Caenorhabditis elegans: one gene and its partners. The protein of the gene in region 3 interacts with the protein of the main gene of each other region in a pairwise test. Each region holds a gene or a part of one and is shown on either strand. Other genes may lie near its edges.

What was found. The genes of interacting proteins can lie anywhere in the genome.
Region 1: the proteins of mpz-6 (region 3) and appg-2 interact in a two-hybrid assay, tested with the Caenorhabditis elegans proteins (one large-scale study listed by BioGRID).
Region 2: the proteins of mpz-6 (region 3) and F52C6.3 interact in a two-hybrid assay, tested with the Caenorhabditis elegans proteins (one large-scale study listed by BioGRID).

What each region holds. Positions count from the first base shown.
Region 1 is NC_003280.10:8,798,559-8,806,176, forward strand, and holds appg-2 (Activated in Blocked Unfolded protein response), read left to right. Parts: upstream 1-2,571; 5' UTR 2,572-2,643; coding exon 2,644-2,706; intron 2,707-3,409; coding exon 3,410-3,556; intron 3,557-3,602; coding exon 3,603-3,773; intron 3,774-3,821; coding exon 3,822-4,004; intron 4,005-4,051; coding exon 4,052-5,275; intron 5,276-5,385; coding exon 5,386-5,691; intron 5,692-5,734; coding exon 5,735-5,860; intron 5,861-5,932; coding exon 5,933-6,220; 3' UTR 6,221-6,331; downstream 6,332-7,618. Other genes in the region: pho-13 (intestinal acid PHOsphatase), read right to left, coding at 6,342-6,566, 6,613-6,753, 6,851-7,026, 7,070-7,373.
Region 2 is NC_003280.10:1,922,546-1,927,007, forward strand, and holds F52C6.3 (Ubiquitin-like domain-containing protein), read left to right. Parts: upstream 1-2,213; 5' UTR 2,214-2,221; coding exon 2,222-2,333; intron 2,334-2,381; coding exon 2,382-2,708; intron 2,709-2,759; coding exon 2,760-2,914; 3' UTR 2,915-3,175; downstream 3,176-4,462. Other genes in the region: bath-2 (BTB domain-containing protein), read right to left, coding at 1-37, 87-199; F52C6.4 (Ubiquitin-like domain-containing protein), read left to right, coding at 602-713, 768-958; F52C6.2 (Ubiquitin-like domain-containing protein), read left to right, coding at 3,925-4,036, 4,089-4,391, 4,446-4,462.
Region 3 is NC_003280.10:9,404,525-9,410,105, forward strand, and holds mpz-6 (PDZ domain-containing protein), read right to left. Parts: upstream 2,597-5,581; 5' UTR 2,554-2,596; intron 2,453-2,553; coding exon 2,354-2,452; intron 2,094-2,353; coding exon 2,013-2,093; intron 1,956-2,012; coding exon 1,761-1,955; intron 1,718-1,760; coding exon 1,583-1,717; intron 1,535-1,582; coding exon 1,334-1,534; intron 1,262-1,333; coding exon 1,076-1,261; 3' UTR 1,010-1,075; downstream 1-1,009. Other genes in the region: Y51B9A.5 (Ovule protein), read left to right, coding at 1-167; arrd-2 (Arrestin C-terminal-like domain-containing protein), read left to right, coding at 3,330-3,551, 3,601-3,876, 3,929-4,435; M176.9 (Tyrosine-protein kinase), read right to left, coding at 4,819-5,182, 5,228-5,404, 5,448-5,581.

The sequences.
Region 1 (7,618 bases), 610 kb from region 3:
TGTGCATTTTAAGCAACCATCCAAAAATAATATCAGTGAGCAACTTGCTGCTTTCATCATTTTTCACGTGTGAAACTTCAGTGCTTTTCAACCGGAAGAATCAACGCGAGATCAATTCGTCTTCTCTGCCAAAGAACGCTTCTTCTTTTCCGCACCGTCTTGAGCTCAAACAATCATTCACACATTTCCAACTCACCCATTGTTCACGTGCAAATAAGATGAACAAAAAATGAGGGAAAAGAAGCAAGTTTCGTGTTACGTGTATCTTCAAGAAGTAAACAATGAATTAGATGCGCAACCCACGTAAATCACAACAACGCTGCTACCCGAAAAGTATTTTCCGGAATTGTCCGGGTTACGGTCAAAAGAGTGAAACACATTTTCGAAAATAAAACGGTGTCAGATTACGGTGTCATGTTACTAGCCAGCATTAGACTGTCTAGGAGGATATGTGTGGCATTTTAGGAATAGAACACAAATCCCGGATAAATAGTGAATATGCATTTGGAGTATTTCAACAACACGAGCGTCACAATATATGTTGAAAAAAAATTACAAATTAATAAAAAATAAAAAATTAAAATAAAAAATTGAAATTTCTTTTTTTAAATTGTAAGCTTATCAAAATACAATTCGAGACGGAAACAGGTGATATGGGTATGTGGAATGCTCGTATGAATTACTGATCGAATAACGTAATATTCAAAAATAGAACTTATTTCTTAGTTTTCGTCTTCCATGAATAAACTTTGAATGAACTATTTCTGTCTAGAACATGAACAAAATCTTGGAATATTCATGAGTGAATTATTAGTGAAAAGTTCATAAAATGATATCGAGGATCTACAAGTGTGCATTTTATTTTTGCAATTGGCACGTATAGATTTTCAATGTTTCCAGCTGCACCACGTCACTACATAATTAATATCATAGGTGCACACCAAAATACTACTCTCTCACGATAATTGTTTCGTTTTCTGAATTGAAATAGACAAGAATCAATACAAATATTTAAGTTTTATGAACGCTTAGTTTTCTAAATATGTATTGAACCAGCTCCAAAAAAGAGTGAGGCAAAAATAATCCTGAATTATTTTTGAAGCTGAAATAAGCTTGAAGGTCAAAAGGGAATCACCCAAAGATAAATGAGATAAGAGTTGCAATAGTTGAGTAATCGGATGCAAGAGTAACAGAGAAACTACAGTAAAAATAGTAAATTTTGATAGTTACACTAAAATAGACAAGAGTGTAGGAGAAGCCGTCAATCTCGGGAAACAAAGATCACACGAGTACTCCTTTTCTTGTCAATCACAACGGTCATCGGTCAAAATGTTCTCAACTTCCTTCACTTTCTCTCCGTCTCCACTGTCTTGATTACAAAGAAGAATGGCAATCCTAAAAAAGGAAATGAAGCTTCTCCGTGTCTATCGGCAATGCATCATCATCACCTTCCCGTTTTGTTTCACATTTAATCCTCCCACATGCTCCACTGCCAGTCAAAAATCAGAAGAAGGCACCACTGGTGGGATAATGCGTTGTGTATTTACGGTTTTGCAACGTACACAGTCTCATTCTCGGACAATTGCGGAAGGCAACGAAATAACCAAATAACCCGGCAAGAAACATATTGTGGAGGCGAGAAATGTGTGGAACATGCTTACGCATTGTTGAGCATCAAATGATCACTTTTTGCGCATCTTGGCAATGACCAACTTGACTTGTTTTTTTTTGTTTGATGGCAAGTGACGGACTTTGAAAATGAATAGGTTGGCATTTTTTGAAAGAGAAAAAATCAAATGAACAATATGCAATTTCATCAAAAGAAATATTGTTTTTCTGCAGGGTGTTGAATTATGAAGGTACGAAGAAACACTTTTAGACATTACCAAGTTGGAAAAACGGGATTTAAGTAATATTTCAAGTTCCTTACTACTTACAAGTGTTTCCCGTGATAAAGTTTTATTTGATAGTTACTTTGTAATATTCAAAGAAATTGTGTAACTGGAAAAGTTTCTGATACTTGAATTGTAAATATATTCACAAAAAAAAACATATTCAATTAAATCCAAAAACAAATTCAAATGATTTAAGCTCAGACATGATCAACTACGTTTTTTCCCTGAAGAATTGTCGAACACTTGGAACATAAAATGTATACTGAAAACTTTAAGATCCCTCATTCCGGCAATGAAGACCACCGGCAACTTTTTGATCTGTCTAAATACGCGTACATCCCTTGAGACAACTTTTTGAATGGATCAAAATACATAGAGATTCCCACCCTGTACAAACATCGTATTGAGCACTTTAGACACTTTTTTCAGGCCGTGTCAAGGATCCACCAAAAATCCAAAATCTAGTCGTCAATTTCCGTCGGTCCTCGGACGACGATCCGATGCAAAAAGTTGATCCGTTTTTTTGCGTCTCCTCCATTCTTCGTCTTCTTCCTGTAAATTCCTTCCTGGTGCATCGAGACGGAAAGGAGGAGCATCCTACAATTTTTTGCCGCCTGATGGCTACCGCCGCGGCAACATGACAGACGTATATAAGACAGTGGCGGAAGGAAGCGGAGCACCAAAAGAGCACCTCCCTCACTGTCGTCGGCCAGCAGTACCGCCGAGAGGAGTTCTACGAATAAACGATATGAAGACGAACATTATATTATTACTTATAGTTATTGGATCATACCTTGTGGATTCAGAACAGGTAATTTTTGATATATTAAAAATAAAATAAAATTATACCTCTAATATCTCTCATCCATTTTCCTTATTCTACAATCTCTTATTCAACTTTTGAAAACGTAGTCCAAAATCTTCCTATGAAACATTTTCTCCCAATATCACTGTTTTTTTTTTATTTTTCTAGTAAATTTTTATTTTTCCAGTAAAAATCAATGCAGAAACACCGTATTTCCTTTTTCAACTTTTACAATCCCTTGCTTAAATTATGTAGCTCATATTTTGGTTGTCTTTATTTTTTGTTAAAAATGTGCAATTTTTCAATTATTTTTCTATAGTTGTGTAATTAGTAGTTTACAGTAATTGAAAAATAATTACGTTAGTTTCCCTGATCATCCCAATTTATAGCTAAACACTACGCGCCTACAGTATTTTCATTGCACATCCATGACTCTTTATAATCTCTCGATCTTCGCAATATCTTGTATTTTGACCGACTGATGACCTGTCTCGGCAAAGTGTTCCAAGTCTCGCCATTCTCAAGTGAACCATATCATATTTCATGTCCATGAGAAGGGTTCCGCCTTTCTATGACATTTTCCCACATTCACACATACAAATAACACAAGAACAAATAAACCGGTGCCATGTCGCAAATTCAACAAACAATGACCTGTCGCTCACTTGATTATCACGTCTGACTCATGTTAATATCCCATACATTTTAGAGCTTGATTACACGAGCCAAGCGACAATGCCCGTGTGCGCAACTGTCACAAAAATCGAAATGCAATTGTTATCCGATTGGGAGTGGAATGCAACGATGCAAATGCTCAAATGAGCCACAATCAAGCGGATGTTCTTGTGCCAATAAGGCAAGTCTTTGTGGAATGGAATTGTAGTACAAGTCTGAAATTTCAGGCTCAAACATCGGTATGCCAACCATCATGTCAAAAGTCTTGTGTAGATTCTTGTGTAAGGAACTCCCATCAGCCACAGCTTCTTTGTGATAAGACATGTCAATTTACATGCAATAAGGCATGCACTCCATCTACATCAACGAGCTCATCGTCCAATTTTCCACCAATTAAGGCACTACTTTACCATTCTTTGAACCCAAATAAAATAATATAATTACAGGTAGTTGTAAACCAACAAACCAAGGCTTCTCAATGCCCACAAGCCTGTGCTCAATCATGTGCCAACAGTTGCACAGCTCAGCCAAATAAATCTTATTGCATTGATATGTGCATCAAATCTTGCCAACCAACATGCGTTCAAGCTGCTGTATCTATAAATGTCAAAGAATTCATGCGTACTTCGGTCTGAACGACCAATTTTCACAACCAAAAAAATATTCAATTTTTCAGACCACAACCTTAGCCCCATCAAGATCATGTGTCTCTGCTTGCCAACCAACATGTGACGCTCAGTGTATTAATGTCATGAAGCGGTATGAAGTGATTATTCAAAAGATGCCACTTGCCCAGAAATGTCCCTCCCAGTGTCAGCCAACCTGTTCTCCACAATGTATTCAATCGGTCACTGTTTCTATTCAAACTACAGCTCAACCAACAACAGCTTCCTGCATTCCGGCTTGTCAACCAGCGTGCACTCCACAATGTGTTCAAGCAGTTACCACGACAGAAACATGTATCCCGGCCTGCCAACCCGCTTGTCAACCACAATGTGTAGAGAGACAGCTTCAGATTCAGATCGTAACTTCTCAAGCAACACAAGCAACTCGTGCTCCTGAAACATGCATTCCAGCCTGTCAACCAGCTTGCCAGCCACAATGTGTTTATCAGTATCTTTCTTCGGGGTCTTCAGGCATTTCAACAGTTCCACCAGTAACCAAAGTGTGCATCTCAATCTGTCAACCAGCTTGTGATCCAGGATGTGTTGCTATTTACACGACGACTCCAGCCCCACTTCACTGCGTTTCTCAGTGTCAGCCAGCTTGTCTTCCATCTTGTACTGACACCTTTACTACAACTATCTCGCTTCCAAAACAATGCGTCCCAGAGTGTCAGCCAGCTTGTGAGACTAAATGTATTGTTGCTCAAATTGTGCTGAAGATCAAGAACAGCTATCAACAACCTCAGCAACTGTCTCAACAGTACATCCCACAGTCTTCTTGTGTTCCACAATGCCAACCAGCATGTACTCAGGAATGTGTAGCTGCTCAGCCAAACTTCTCGGTTCAAATTAATATGATTGATGAAACCCCTTCAACCTCAACTTCTTCTCCACAATGTATTCCTCAATGCCAACCATCATGTGATCAACAATGCATTCAAACTTACAAGATTCAAGTACAACAAATGAATTCTCAACAGAAACAGCAACGTCAGTATAATTGTGTTCCCGCTTGTCAACCAACTTGTGAGCAATCTTGCATTCAGTCTCAATACCAAGTTACTATACAACAAAGTTACTCCAAAGGGAATCAAGGAAATAGCTGTCCATCAGCATGTCAACCGGCCTGCGAACCTCTTTGTGTACAACAAATCACTGTTCAAACAACCGTTCCAATCACAAAGACCTGTGTTCCACAATGCCAACCGGCTTGCACTCAAGAGTGTGTCCAGCAGGTAAATATGATATAAAATTTGAAGAAAAAACAACACAACAGGAAAAGTTTAGAACTGTAAATAAACATAAATTAAAATTATAATAACCACCATAGTTTTTTTCTTTTCAGGCAACTACCTACACTATCTCCATTCCAATGACTACTGCAGCCCCATCATGCGCTCCACAATGCCAACCAGCTTGTGATCCACAATGCATAAGCTTCACTCTTAAACTTCCAGTAATGACCACTCCACCCCCGACGCCATCTTGCCAGCCACAATGTCAACCAGCTTGCCAACCATCTTGTATGGAGACATACACATTCACGATCCCAATGAATGATCAGAGCTCCAAGCAGTGTGCTCCAGCTTGTCAACCTGTCTGTGATTCAAAGTGTATTCAAAATTATCAATTTGAAATTGTAATTCCACAGGTCAGAAAATTTAGAACTTTCTGCAAAAACTGAAGATTTTTAGGCTGACAACAACTGTATGCCAGCTTGCACCCAATCTTGCCAAACTTCATGTGTTCAACAGAACAGCCAAAGTGTTCCACAATGCAGCACAGCTTGTACTGACAGTTGTAGATCATCTTGCGTTGAAGTACTGTAACTGAAATATCAGCTGATAGAGTTCTGCTTGGCAAATTGTTAAAATATCGTTGTTTTTTTTCAGATCGTGAAGGAATCTGCAGAACCAACTTTCAAATTGGAAATTGTTCTTAAAAAACCAATGGAAGAAACTGTGACATGTGCTCCACAATGTGCTAATCAGTGCGTTGATCAATGTAAAACTCAACTTCTGACCCAAATTGAATTCTGTCTGCCAGCTTGCCAGAACGCCTGTCAACAGAACTGCCCGTTGCAAGTCGAACCATGTGCAATGAGTGGTTCACAATGCAATTGTTCAACTGGATTCTCACTTTGTGGAAATAACCAATGCTGCAGAAAGAGAAGACGATAGATCCATTCAAAAGGAAACAACCTACCTACGCACATTATTGCCATAATTTTAATTTTAAAGCGAAAAAAGTGTATTTTATTTATCATACATCAATAAATATTTATGAATATCATATAGTGTTCTAGAATAAAATATATTTTGAAATGAAAGTGAATATAATCAAAAATAAAAGTGAAGAAGAGTTCGAGGATCCGGTAACGAGACACCATTGATCAATAGGTTGATCTGGTTTTAAATTGTTTGCAATTTGATTCAACACATTCATTGAACAGTAATCTCCTCCACATCCAGTAATCTCCTTCGTCATCACAGTAAAGTCATCTCCAGATTGTTTGTGGTAAACCAGCTTCAAAACTTAGATATTACAATATTGCTTTACCGAACAAACCTACCTTAAAATAGTCAGCGTTATCAGTAGTATTTCTCCAATATTCAACCGATACGGCAGCGGAATAAAGTGGATATCCGTGAGGTTTAATAGCAAATCGTTCGATGCCAAGAGCTACTAGCACTGCGTATACGGTCTCATCGTGCTGAAAAAAAATGTTTAATGTAATAATTCAATTGTGAATAACATGTACAACTAAAAAATTTCCAGAAGCTTCTTAAGGTTACTACCAAAAAACCCACAGCTGAATAAACGAAGTACTTGAGTCCATTTATCCAATCACACCCTTGTGTATTTTTTCCATATGTACAATCACTTTTCTTATTAATTCTATCCATCATATCATTCATAAGAGGTCCGGATCGTACTTTCAGAAGCTCAAGGCCAATATTCATGTTGTTCATATTAATAGTACTATCTGAAAAATTATTACATACAATGTTCTTAGAAAAACAACGTACTGAATACTCCGTATTGATACATATAAATTTGATCATTTACTGCCACAATTTGACTATAAAAATCATCATTGAACCATGTATTCTCTTTTCGAAGTGATTCATTAAAATATATTTGTTCAATGAATAAGGCATCCGGGACAGTCCAGAAATCTTCTAGACTCCATGTTTGATTAACCAGTGACGTTAGTTTGTCGATTACTGATGAAACTGGTACTGAGCTTCTCCAGTTCTTCATTTCGTCCGATTGTTGAGCAATATTCCAGAGCCATTCACGACGTGGGCAGATGCAGTCCATATTTCCAATCTAAAACAACTGCTTCTGATTAAATATAGTTTTAAAGTTTCCGATCTAGTCTAAATAGTACAATAGTCTAATATGTCGAAATTTCATAATAAGACACACCAATTCAAAGTTTTGGTAAATTGCCAAATTTTCCAACAGTACGGATTTTTTGAGTAATTCCGAGCATTGTTGTAGGTTAGATTCCCTAGAAAGTTTGAATACAAATAATTGAAACGCAATTAAAAAATAAAACTTTTAGAAATGTG
Region 2 (4,462 bases), 7.5 Mb from region 3:
AGCCACGTCTTCTTTTTGGTGAATGAGAACTATTCGCCTGCAATATTAAACGTAAGAGTGAAATTACAATTCATTTTCTAGCTTGCCATTGAACATTGAAATGTTCTTCTTCAGGACCATAAAAAGTATTTCCATCTTCCAGCTTCGACACATCTTTGAAAACATGGGAGAGCTCAAATTCTCTTTTGACAGCGACCATTTCCCAATGTGCCGCTGAAAATAATTATTTTTGAATTTTCTGCAAAAAATACGATGAACTACGTTTAAATGCGAAGAAAAAACAACAACAAAACCCCAAAAAACTAATTGCGCGTCAATTAATGTGCATTGTGTGCAATGTGAACTTTTTCGCTTACCGTAGTTTGGAAATTTTTGTTCTTCGATTTATTGATTTTTTCGAAACTCTTGCCCATATTTACTTGTTTTTTCTCATTTTTTATCGAAATTTAAATGAAACAAATTAGTTTAAGTGCTATATTTTTTTTATTCAACAGAATAAGTTCAAAACTTCCCGAAGATCAAATTTCTGTGGATTGTTACTCTTTTTTCACTGTTTTTTGTTGCAATACTCTCAATAAATTCAACTTTTCCAGCTAAAACCATGCTGCTCTCCGTCAAAACGTCGACTGGAAAAACCATCACAGTGGAGGCGCCGAAAAATGTGAAAACTGAAGTTCGCGACAAACAGGGAGTCGTTTTCACAGTCTCTTACGGTATTTATCGATTTTTTTTTTGGTTTTTATTTCAATATATGTTTATTTTTTCAGGAGAAGTAACCGGAGATCCAATCACTGTTGAAGCATCGGACGCCATCAAGGATCTTAATTTCAAGGTTGCCGAGGCTCAGCGAAAACCGCATCGTGAAGGAATGCGAATTTACGTTAAAACTTGTGAAAAAACGATCACTCTTGACACTGCTGCCTCCGATACCATTGCAAGTGTTAAGGCTAAAATCTAGGAAAAACGAGGTTTTCCATCAAATCTGCAGAAACTATATTTGGGTTAGTACTTTGAAACTGATAGCTTGTCTAATTTCTTTAGTTTTTACAGAACCTTCCAACATTGTTTTGTGCAAGGATCAACGTACTATTTCTGACTACAACATCAAAAACGGCAGTACTCTCCGTTTGGAAGTTCCTGTAAAAGAAAAACTGACGGTTTCTGTGAAAACCTTATTCGGAAAGACGATTCCTATTTCAATCAAGAATACGGATACTGTTGAGACATTGAAGTTCAAGGTTCAGAATAAACACGGTGTTCCACCAGATCAGCAGCGTCTCATTTTCGGTCGGGCACAGCTCGAGAATGACCGTGCTCTGTTCGCCTATAACATTCGTGATGAGGATATTATCCATTTAGTCTCCAGACATCGGTTGTGAAGTTCTCAATTTGATTGCTCTTAATCTGTTGTTTTGTTACTTTTTTGTTTTTTATTGTTGATAAATGTTGAAGGTTTTTTTTTTAATTTTTAAATTAAAAACACTGTCTCAAAATATTACAGGTACCATATTTATGATATATGAGGGTTTTTTTCCAGTAAATTCTTCTGTGTTCTGAATTTCCGACTTAAACATTTTATTTCGATGGTTCAGAAAATTGGTTTTTCAGGTTTTTGGATACTTCAGGCTGATATTTTGAAATACTCGAATTTAATTCAATTTAGCATTATTCAACCCGCTAGAATTTCTGTTGGCACATGTTTCTTCAATTAGAATTTCTATTATTTAAAAAACCACAAAGAATTTAATAAAAAATCAGCGAAACTACGGTAGACGAGGAAGTAGGCAGTTGCACACGATACACATTAAATAATTGACTTTTCCGTTTTTCTTGATTCAGTACTCGAAATGTTTTCATCGAAAACTTAGAAAAAAGTTTTTTAATATAAATGAAATTTCAATAAAATTTGCGCGTCAATTAAAGTGTTCTTTGTGCATTGTGAACTTTTTTTGCTTACCGTAGTTTTGCAATATTTGTTTTTCGATTTATTGACTTTTTCAACGCAATTCTTCTTTATAGCTTGCTTTTTGCCCGTAATTCATCAAAATCTTGATAATAATATTTATTAATTCATTCTATTCATATTTTTAAGAAAAATCATTTCGAAATTATCCAAAAACCAGATTTCTCCCTTGTTTGCTTCTTTTTTCACCGTTGTCCTCGTTTTTCTGTTGCAAAACTCTCAATAATATTTAATTTATAAATTTTTCCAGCTAAAATCATGCTGCTCTCCATCAAAACGTCGACTGGAAAAAACATCACAGTGGAAGCGCCGAAAAGTGTGAAAACTGAAGTTCGCGACAAACAGGGAGTCGTTTTCACTGTCTCTTACGGTATTTATTGTTTTTTTCTGGGTTTTGCATTAAAAAAATCATTTTCAGACAAAGGTACCGGAAATCAAATCATTGAAATGGAGGACACTGTCCAAGATGTCAAAATTCAAGAGGCTCAGCAAGCACCGCTTCGTGAATCAGAAGAAGTGACCGAAGATCCCATCAGTGTCGAATCATCGGAGGTCATCGGAAATCTGAATGTCAAGGTTGCCGAGACTCAGCAAGAACTGCATCATGAAGGAATCCGAATTTACGTTGAGAACGCTGGAAGAACATGCACACTTGACACTTCCGCCTCCGATACCATGGCAAGTGTCAAGGCTAAAATTTGGGAAAAACTAAGAATCCTCCCAAATACGCAAAAACTATTATTGGGTTTGTACTTTAAATATTGAAAGATATGTCTAATTTCTTTAATTTTTACAGAAAACTGGGACCTAGATTTGTTTAGCGATCATAGCACTCTTTTTGACAACAGTTTCGAAAACGGCAGTACTCTTCGTTTGGAAGTTTCTATAGAAAAAGAAATTGACGTTTTTGTGAAAACCTATACCGGAAAGACAATCACCATTTCAATCTAGAATACGGATACTGTTGAGACCTTGAAGCTCAAGATTCAGGATAAGGAAGGTATTCCACCAGATCAACAGCGTCTTATTTATCAAGGATCGCAGCTCGAGGATGACCGTACTTTGATTGCCTATAACATCTATAATGAGGCTACTCTCCGTTTAATTCTCAGACTTCGTGGATGAAGTTCTCAATTTGAATATTGTTAATTTGTTACTTGTTATTTTGTTACTGTTCTGTTTATTTTTGTTGATGAATGTTGAAAAAGTTTAGATTTTTTTGAAATTAAAAATATGGTTTTTAAACAGCCGGTATATTTCTTTGTGTTCTGAATTTCCAACGTAAAGAATCTTTTTCAGTGATTCAGAAAGTGTGCTTTTCAGGTTTTTCGTTAATTTCTGTATTTCTCTATCATAGAATACATTTCAACTCACAAGAATTTTCGTTAAAAACCACAAAAAAATTAATAAAAAATCGGCAAAACTATGGTAGACGAGAAAGTACGCTGTTGCGCACAATGCATGTTAATTGACGCGCAAACAGTTTTTTGTAATATTTTTTTCCTGTTTTGCTTGATTCAGTACTTGAAATGTTTCTTTTCAAATATTATAATAGTTTTTTTTAAAATTTTCTGCAAAAAATGCTGAAATTCTAATAAAACCAAAAAAAAACTCAAAAAACGGCATGCGCGTCAATTCATGCGCATTGTGTTCATTGTGAACTTTTACGCTTACCGTAGTTTGTCGAGATTTGTTTTTCGATTTATTGATTTTTTCGAAACTCTTGCCCATATTAACTTGCTCTTTCTCGCTATTTATCGAAATTTGAATGAAAAAAATTAATTTAGGTGCATTATCATTTTTTATTTAACAAAATAAGTTCAACAACTACTGAAAATCCAATTTCTGTCGATTGTTATTCTTTTTTCACTATTTTTGTCAAATTAAAAAGTTCTTTCTGCGTCTTTTTTGTTTAAATGCTCTCAATTAGGTTTAATCTATCAACTTTTTCAGATAAAATCATGCTGCTCTCCATCAAAACGTCGACTGGAAAGACCATCACAGTGGAAGCGCCGAAAAGTGTGAAAACTGAAGTTCGCTACAAACAGGGAGTCGTTTTTGCAGTCTCTTACGGTATTTATCGTTTTTTTTTCCTGGTTTTTGCATTAAAAATAATAATTTTCAGACAAAGATGCCGGAAATCAAATCATTGAAATGGAGGACACTGTCCAAGATGTCAAAATTCAAGAGGCTCAGCAAGCACCGCTTCGTGAATCAGAAGAAGTGACCGGAGATCCCATCAAAGTCGAAGCATCGGACACCAACAGAAATGAAGAAAACCCCGATTTGGCTGGGCCACCCGCGGAGCCAGTTATTCGTGGCACTGCCGCCTCCGGTAGAATTGTAAATGTTAGGCTTGCGGGAAAAAGAATCGTCCAACCGAATAGGCGTTTCACATCATATTTGCCTTCGTCCGCCGTGAGACGTGGTTGGTTTTACAATTGATTATTTGTCTAATTTACCCATAATATTTTTTTTTCAGTAGCATCGCCCTATCAG
Region 3 (5,581 bases):
CTTTTTCTGCTGAGTCAACTGAAGACCCACCACCACTGGCTCAGAAACGGTCCGAATCGACTTTAAAACCATTGAATGATGAATTGAAGTCGGTGCCACTGGTTAGAGCTTTCAATTCTGCTGAAAATCAACTGGATCCAAAGAATCAGAACGCTGCAAAGAAGTGAACAGTTATCAATGGGATACTTGATTTTTGAAAGTAATAAATTAGTAAAGTTAAATGTATTGCTCTCAATTTCAATAAACTTATCAATCAGTTCTGATACCCGACACAATTTTAGAGAACTCGTTTCTTGGGTTGTTTAGAAATATTTTACTCTCTGGCTTCACAGAATAATTTACTCTCCGGCTTCACAGTATATTTTACTCTCTGGCTTCACAGTATATTTTACTCTCTGGCTTCACAGAATAATTTACTCTCTGGCTTCACAGTAAATTTTACTCTCTGGCTTCACAGTATATTTTACTCTCTGGCTTCACAGAATAATTTACTCTCTGGCTTCACAGTATATTTTACTCATGGCTTCACAGAATAATTTACTCTCTGGCTTCACAGTATTTTACTCTCTGGCTTCACAGTATATTTTACTCTCTGGCTTCACAGAATAATTTACTCTCTGGCTTCACAGTATATTTTACTCTCTGGCTTCACAGAATAATTTACTCTCTGGCTTCACAGTATATTTTACTCTCTGGCTTCACAGAATAATTTACTCTCTGGCTTCATAGTATATTTTACTCTCTGGCTTCACAGTATATTTTACTCTCTGGCTTCACAGTACATTTTACTCTCTGGCTTCACAGAATAATTTACTCTCTGGCTTCACAGTATATTTTACTCTCTGGCTTCACAGTATATTTTACTCTCTGGCTTCACAGTATATTTTACTGTCATGTACATTTTCAGCCGTATCTTTAAGTGTGTATTATCAAATGAAAATGACAATTTATTGGCAAAATAGGTAGATTTTCAAAACTTTAAAAATTCATAAATCACTTCAAAGTAACTTTTTTCGAACAAATTTATTCCGAATATCTTCCTCAAGTTAAGATCCCAGACGTTTTGGAGTCATTTTCAGGGGCTTCGGAGACGGAATGTATGGGATACGAACTTCTGGGGCAGGCTCCGATGGCAAGGTGGCTGGAACTGGAGTTGGAGCTGGTGCAACGGCTGATTTGATAATACATGGAGGATTCGTGCACGGTTTCTTGTAGAAATCTTGTTTGTCTTCATAATTTCCAAAACATCAGAAGGAAGAAGCTGCAAAGAAGAAAATGAAAACATGTTTCTATATTTAAGTGAAGTGATAAAAGAAAATGGGTTTAAACTGACCACATCAAACTGCTTGTTGGCTTTTCCTTGGGGTGGTTTTGGAGGTGGAAGCATCACTGAATTTCCAGCTTTCTTCACTCCAACAGCAGTACTCTGTGCACCATCGGGAGGCAGTGGAGCAGGGCCGAGTGGATCAGTATTTGTGGATCTTTCCAATGTAAGACGTACCGTTTTTGTGTTGTTGACACTCGCATAGAGAAGCTGAAAGAGCGATAATAGTAGCCATTTGTGTTTCGGAAGATATCATACTTTTCTAGCAGAGTCACGATCAAGAACATAAATGTCATTAACTTTGACAAGAATATCTCCACCTTTGACATAGTGACACGCATTGGAAGCCGACTGAACCATTGAAATAGTTACAGTTTTTGGATCAACTGCCATCTGGAAACCATCTTTAAAAGTTTCAAGTGTCCCGATTACTGACTCTATGAATAATAATCCCTGTTGCAGCACCTCCACGATAAGTGAAAGTCAACTCAACCATCTGAGTATTTGGACGACGAGGTGGCAATGGTTTTTCAGTGACAAGGCAATGATCATCTCGCATGAACTCAATTGTCACTTTTCCAGGAAGTTTTGCACTGATTGCACGGATAAAGTCAGCAGTTGTCTTTATGTTCTGAACATTTGGATTAGTTGAAACGGAAGCGGAAACGGATCTTAAAATATTCCTTACGGTTTCTCCATTGACGTTCAAAATCTCATCACCAGCAAATAGAACACCCATCAATTGGCTACTCACGTCCACATATATGATCTCAAATGTGATTATTCAAGATCTCTTCGATTTTTGAATTGAAAATGAGTTTTTTAATAGCCCAAACTTCGTATTTATGAAAAATTAAGGAATTTTCGAATGTTAAACACATCAGGAATGCCGACAAAATTGTGCTCGTTTCAGCTCTTAGCGCGAGCCCTACGTTGAATACATTATTCAAAAAGAAATGTATTTCCATCTCAATAAATTATTTCAGAAACATTTCCCAACAAACAAAAACGAAATGAGCCCTCATTTACCTTCCCATTGACCACATCACATGCTACAACCACATTCTTCCGTTCGAATTGTACTTCTTCTTTTCCTTTTACATGAAAACTATTGTTGTTGGTTGTCATCTGTAAGAAGTTCATGTCAATGCAGTCCGCTTCTCTAGTAACTGGTAGAGTCACTATGCCCTCATTGTCAGACCCAACGCGCAATCTGAATGTTAACTTACTCCGAATGGATTGTTGCGGATACGAAAGAGCTATCGATAAGAAAATATTTAGAACTGAGTCAGTTTTTGTTTTCACTTTTTATTTTTCTGTAATTTTTTTCTGAATAAAACAAGTACAAACGATGTCACGTTGTTATATTAATTAAATTGATAAATTATTTATTATCAAAATATTATCAAATTTCGATGAGATCAATGGAATAGAACAATTCAATCATCGTTGTCTTCTGCTTTTGTCACTTTCTTTTGACCTCCTCTTACAAACTTTGAAAGTCTTGAACGAATTGTATTCAGATCTTTGCTGTATGTTGGGGCGCTGAAACCAATAAAAATTCGTTTATTTTCTCTTTATTTGAGCATTTCACCTATGAGCTGTACCTTCGGACTTTGTGCCACTATCAGATTCTTCAGTTTCAAATTGTAGGTGGGATATCAAGAAGACGTTGGAAACTTGATGGCATTGTTGGCATTTTGCTCTTTTATGCAGATCTTTTTGAAAATTGGAGATAAAAATCTGAAAATACGTTTTTCCATAACAAACACGACTTTTACACCGACACTGTTCTTCGTTGGTGCAGAAAAATTACAATATCGATTTGGAATTCTCATAAAAGAGCAGGTGGCAATCTACCACCTTTCTATATTGTCACATCACCTCCACACTCTCCGAGCAAGATGGGAAACTCCGCCCACAAACGCTGAAAGTTGATTACAACGACGTAGAATCTGTCTCATTCAGTCAGTCTTTTATTATCTCGATCTCTCCCTTTTGAATTATGTCTGTGAACATTGTTTTCTCCAATCCTTCCAAAACATACCTGCCTGGCGACTATGTCTCTGGAAAAGTGTTGCTCACAACAAAAGATCCAATTTCTGCACGATATATGGAAATCACGTGGAAAGGAGAATCAAAGTGTAATTTTGGAGGATCGGAGAGCTCAAATGTCCAACGCCATCTTGCCGGAACATTTATGGGATGGATTGCCAAAGATGGAGTTGTGAGTTTTTAATACTTAATAAATATATTTTCAAAATATTCCCATTCAGGACACAATCCCCGCTGGAACTCTCAAATCACGTTTCCGATTCCGACTTCCAGAAAATTCTCCGCCAAGTTTTTGCGGAATGTTTGGAGAAATTGAGTATTCTGTTACTGTGGAATTTGATCGTCCGTGGAGACTCAAGTTAAAAATGATGAATACATTCCGTGTGGTTCAGAAGACAAATCTGACACTTTCTGAGCCAAAAATGATGAAGTACGCGGAATTTGTCAAGTCGAAGAATTCTGGAACGATTTTCAAAGATGGATTGTTTTTGTTGAAGGTATTGTTCAATTTCAAAAGTAGAGTCAAAAAATTCACTCATTATATTTTAGCTTCACTTTTCCAAACGAGCATTCCTCGCAGGGGAGACAATCCGAGCACTTGCCATCATGGAGAATCATTCAACAAAACCAATCATTAATCTTCGTTTCGAGCTCATTCAACAATCCCATTACCACTCTCGCCCACAGAAATCATTGTGTTCTCTTAACGATTGTCACTCCGACTGCCCAATTGAATCCAAATATCGAAGAGATGGTGAAACAGTGCTCCGCGGAGCCAATTACAGTTGTGACGTCGCACCTGGTGAGGTGAAATATATCAATGTGGAGATTGATCTGCCAAATGGACTCCCGCCAACTTTCGAATCTCCAATGATCTCAATGGGATACCTGTTGGGATTTACCCTAAGAAATGGATCACTGACCGGGAATCGATTAGCATGTAATGCACGGATTGTGGTTGGAAGTGAGGAGACAATCGATGAAATGGTAGATGAATGTGAGCCGACAAAGAAGAGCCAATGCCTTACTGCATCACCACCACCATATCACCCATAAATTAATCAATGATCATATTCATTTGAATGTTTTAAAATAAAGTTTTTTTTTGAAAAAAGTTGTGTAAAACGGAATGTAGACGGAACCATATAAAAATAATTCAAATATTTAATTCAGAAAGGAAATCTGTATAATTTTTTCAGGAATAGCATTAATTGAAAAATCAATTCACAGAGAAATATGAACAAAAATAAATAAAAAAAAAAAACTTATAATGCAACTTATTTTATTCGGAAATGTACCCCAAATGTCGCCCCAATGAGAAAAATATGATACCAGCAAAGCTCGAATCTTGGATTTTTATTAAGATGTTTGTCTATTTTTTTTTTGAAAAAAAGCATATGCTCAATTTTTATTCAAGTAGAAAGAATCATAAAAACAGTTCACTCCTCTTTTGGCACTTCCTTCTTCTTCTTCGTCCTCTTGCTTCTCTGACTTTTTCTGCTTCTATCACTATTGTTTTTGAAAACTGCCAGAAGCCTATTTTTCGCTTTTCCCATCTGTAATGTCCCATCTTCACACATTCGAGCAAATCGTTCAAATTCTGCAACTGCCAATGGTATTGTGGCTCGACGAGATTCTTCGACAAAAATACAACTGCTCATGTACTCTTTTACTTCGTCTGGAGTCATTGATGGCATTGGATAGAAATTGTTAGCCATGATATCAGCCTTGATAGTTGCATTCGAGACACCTTCAAATGGTTCAGCACCGTCGACGAAGACTTCGTAGCAAGTGACTCCCCAGCTGGAAAGAACACTTGTCTATACCTCAATAGTTGATAAAACTAACCTATAAACATCAGTTGCATATGAGAAGCTCAGAGTAGCCAAGGTTTCAGGCGCGAGCCACTTTATAGGAATCTTACAAGATGTCTTTGTTGTATAAGATGGTCCAGCTCTAGATAATCCAAAATCGGTGATCTTGACCTCGTTCTCGTGAAGAAGACAATTTCTGGCGGCGATGTCCCTGAAAAGTTTTCAATCGATTTTCCAACAAAAAACCTGCTCACCGATGGATACAATTGTTTTGATGCAAGTACGCAAGACCCTTTGCAGCTCCAAGACAAAAATTGATTCGATCCGCCAGGGGCACCGATTTCGTCTGCTTCATGTAATCTTGCAAGGATCCACCTTTGACCAACTC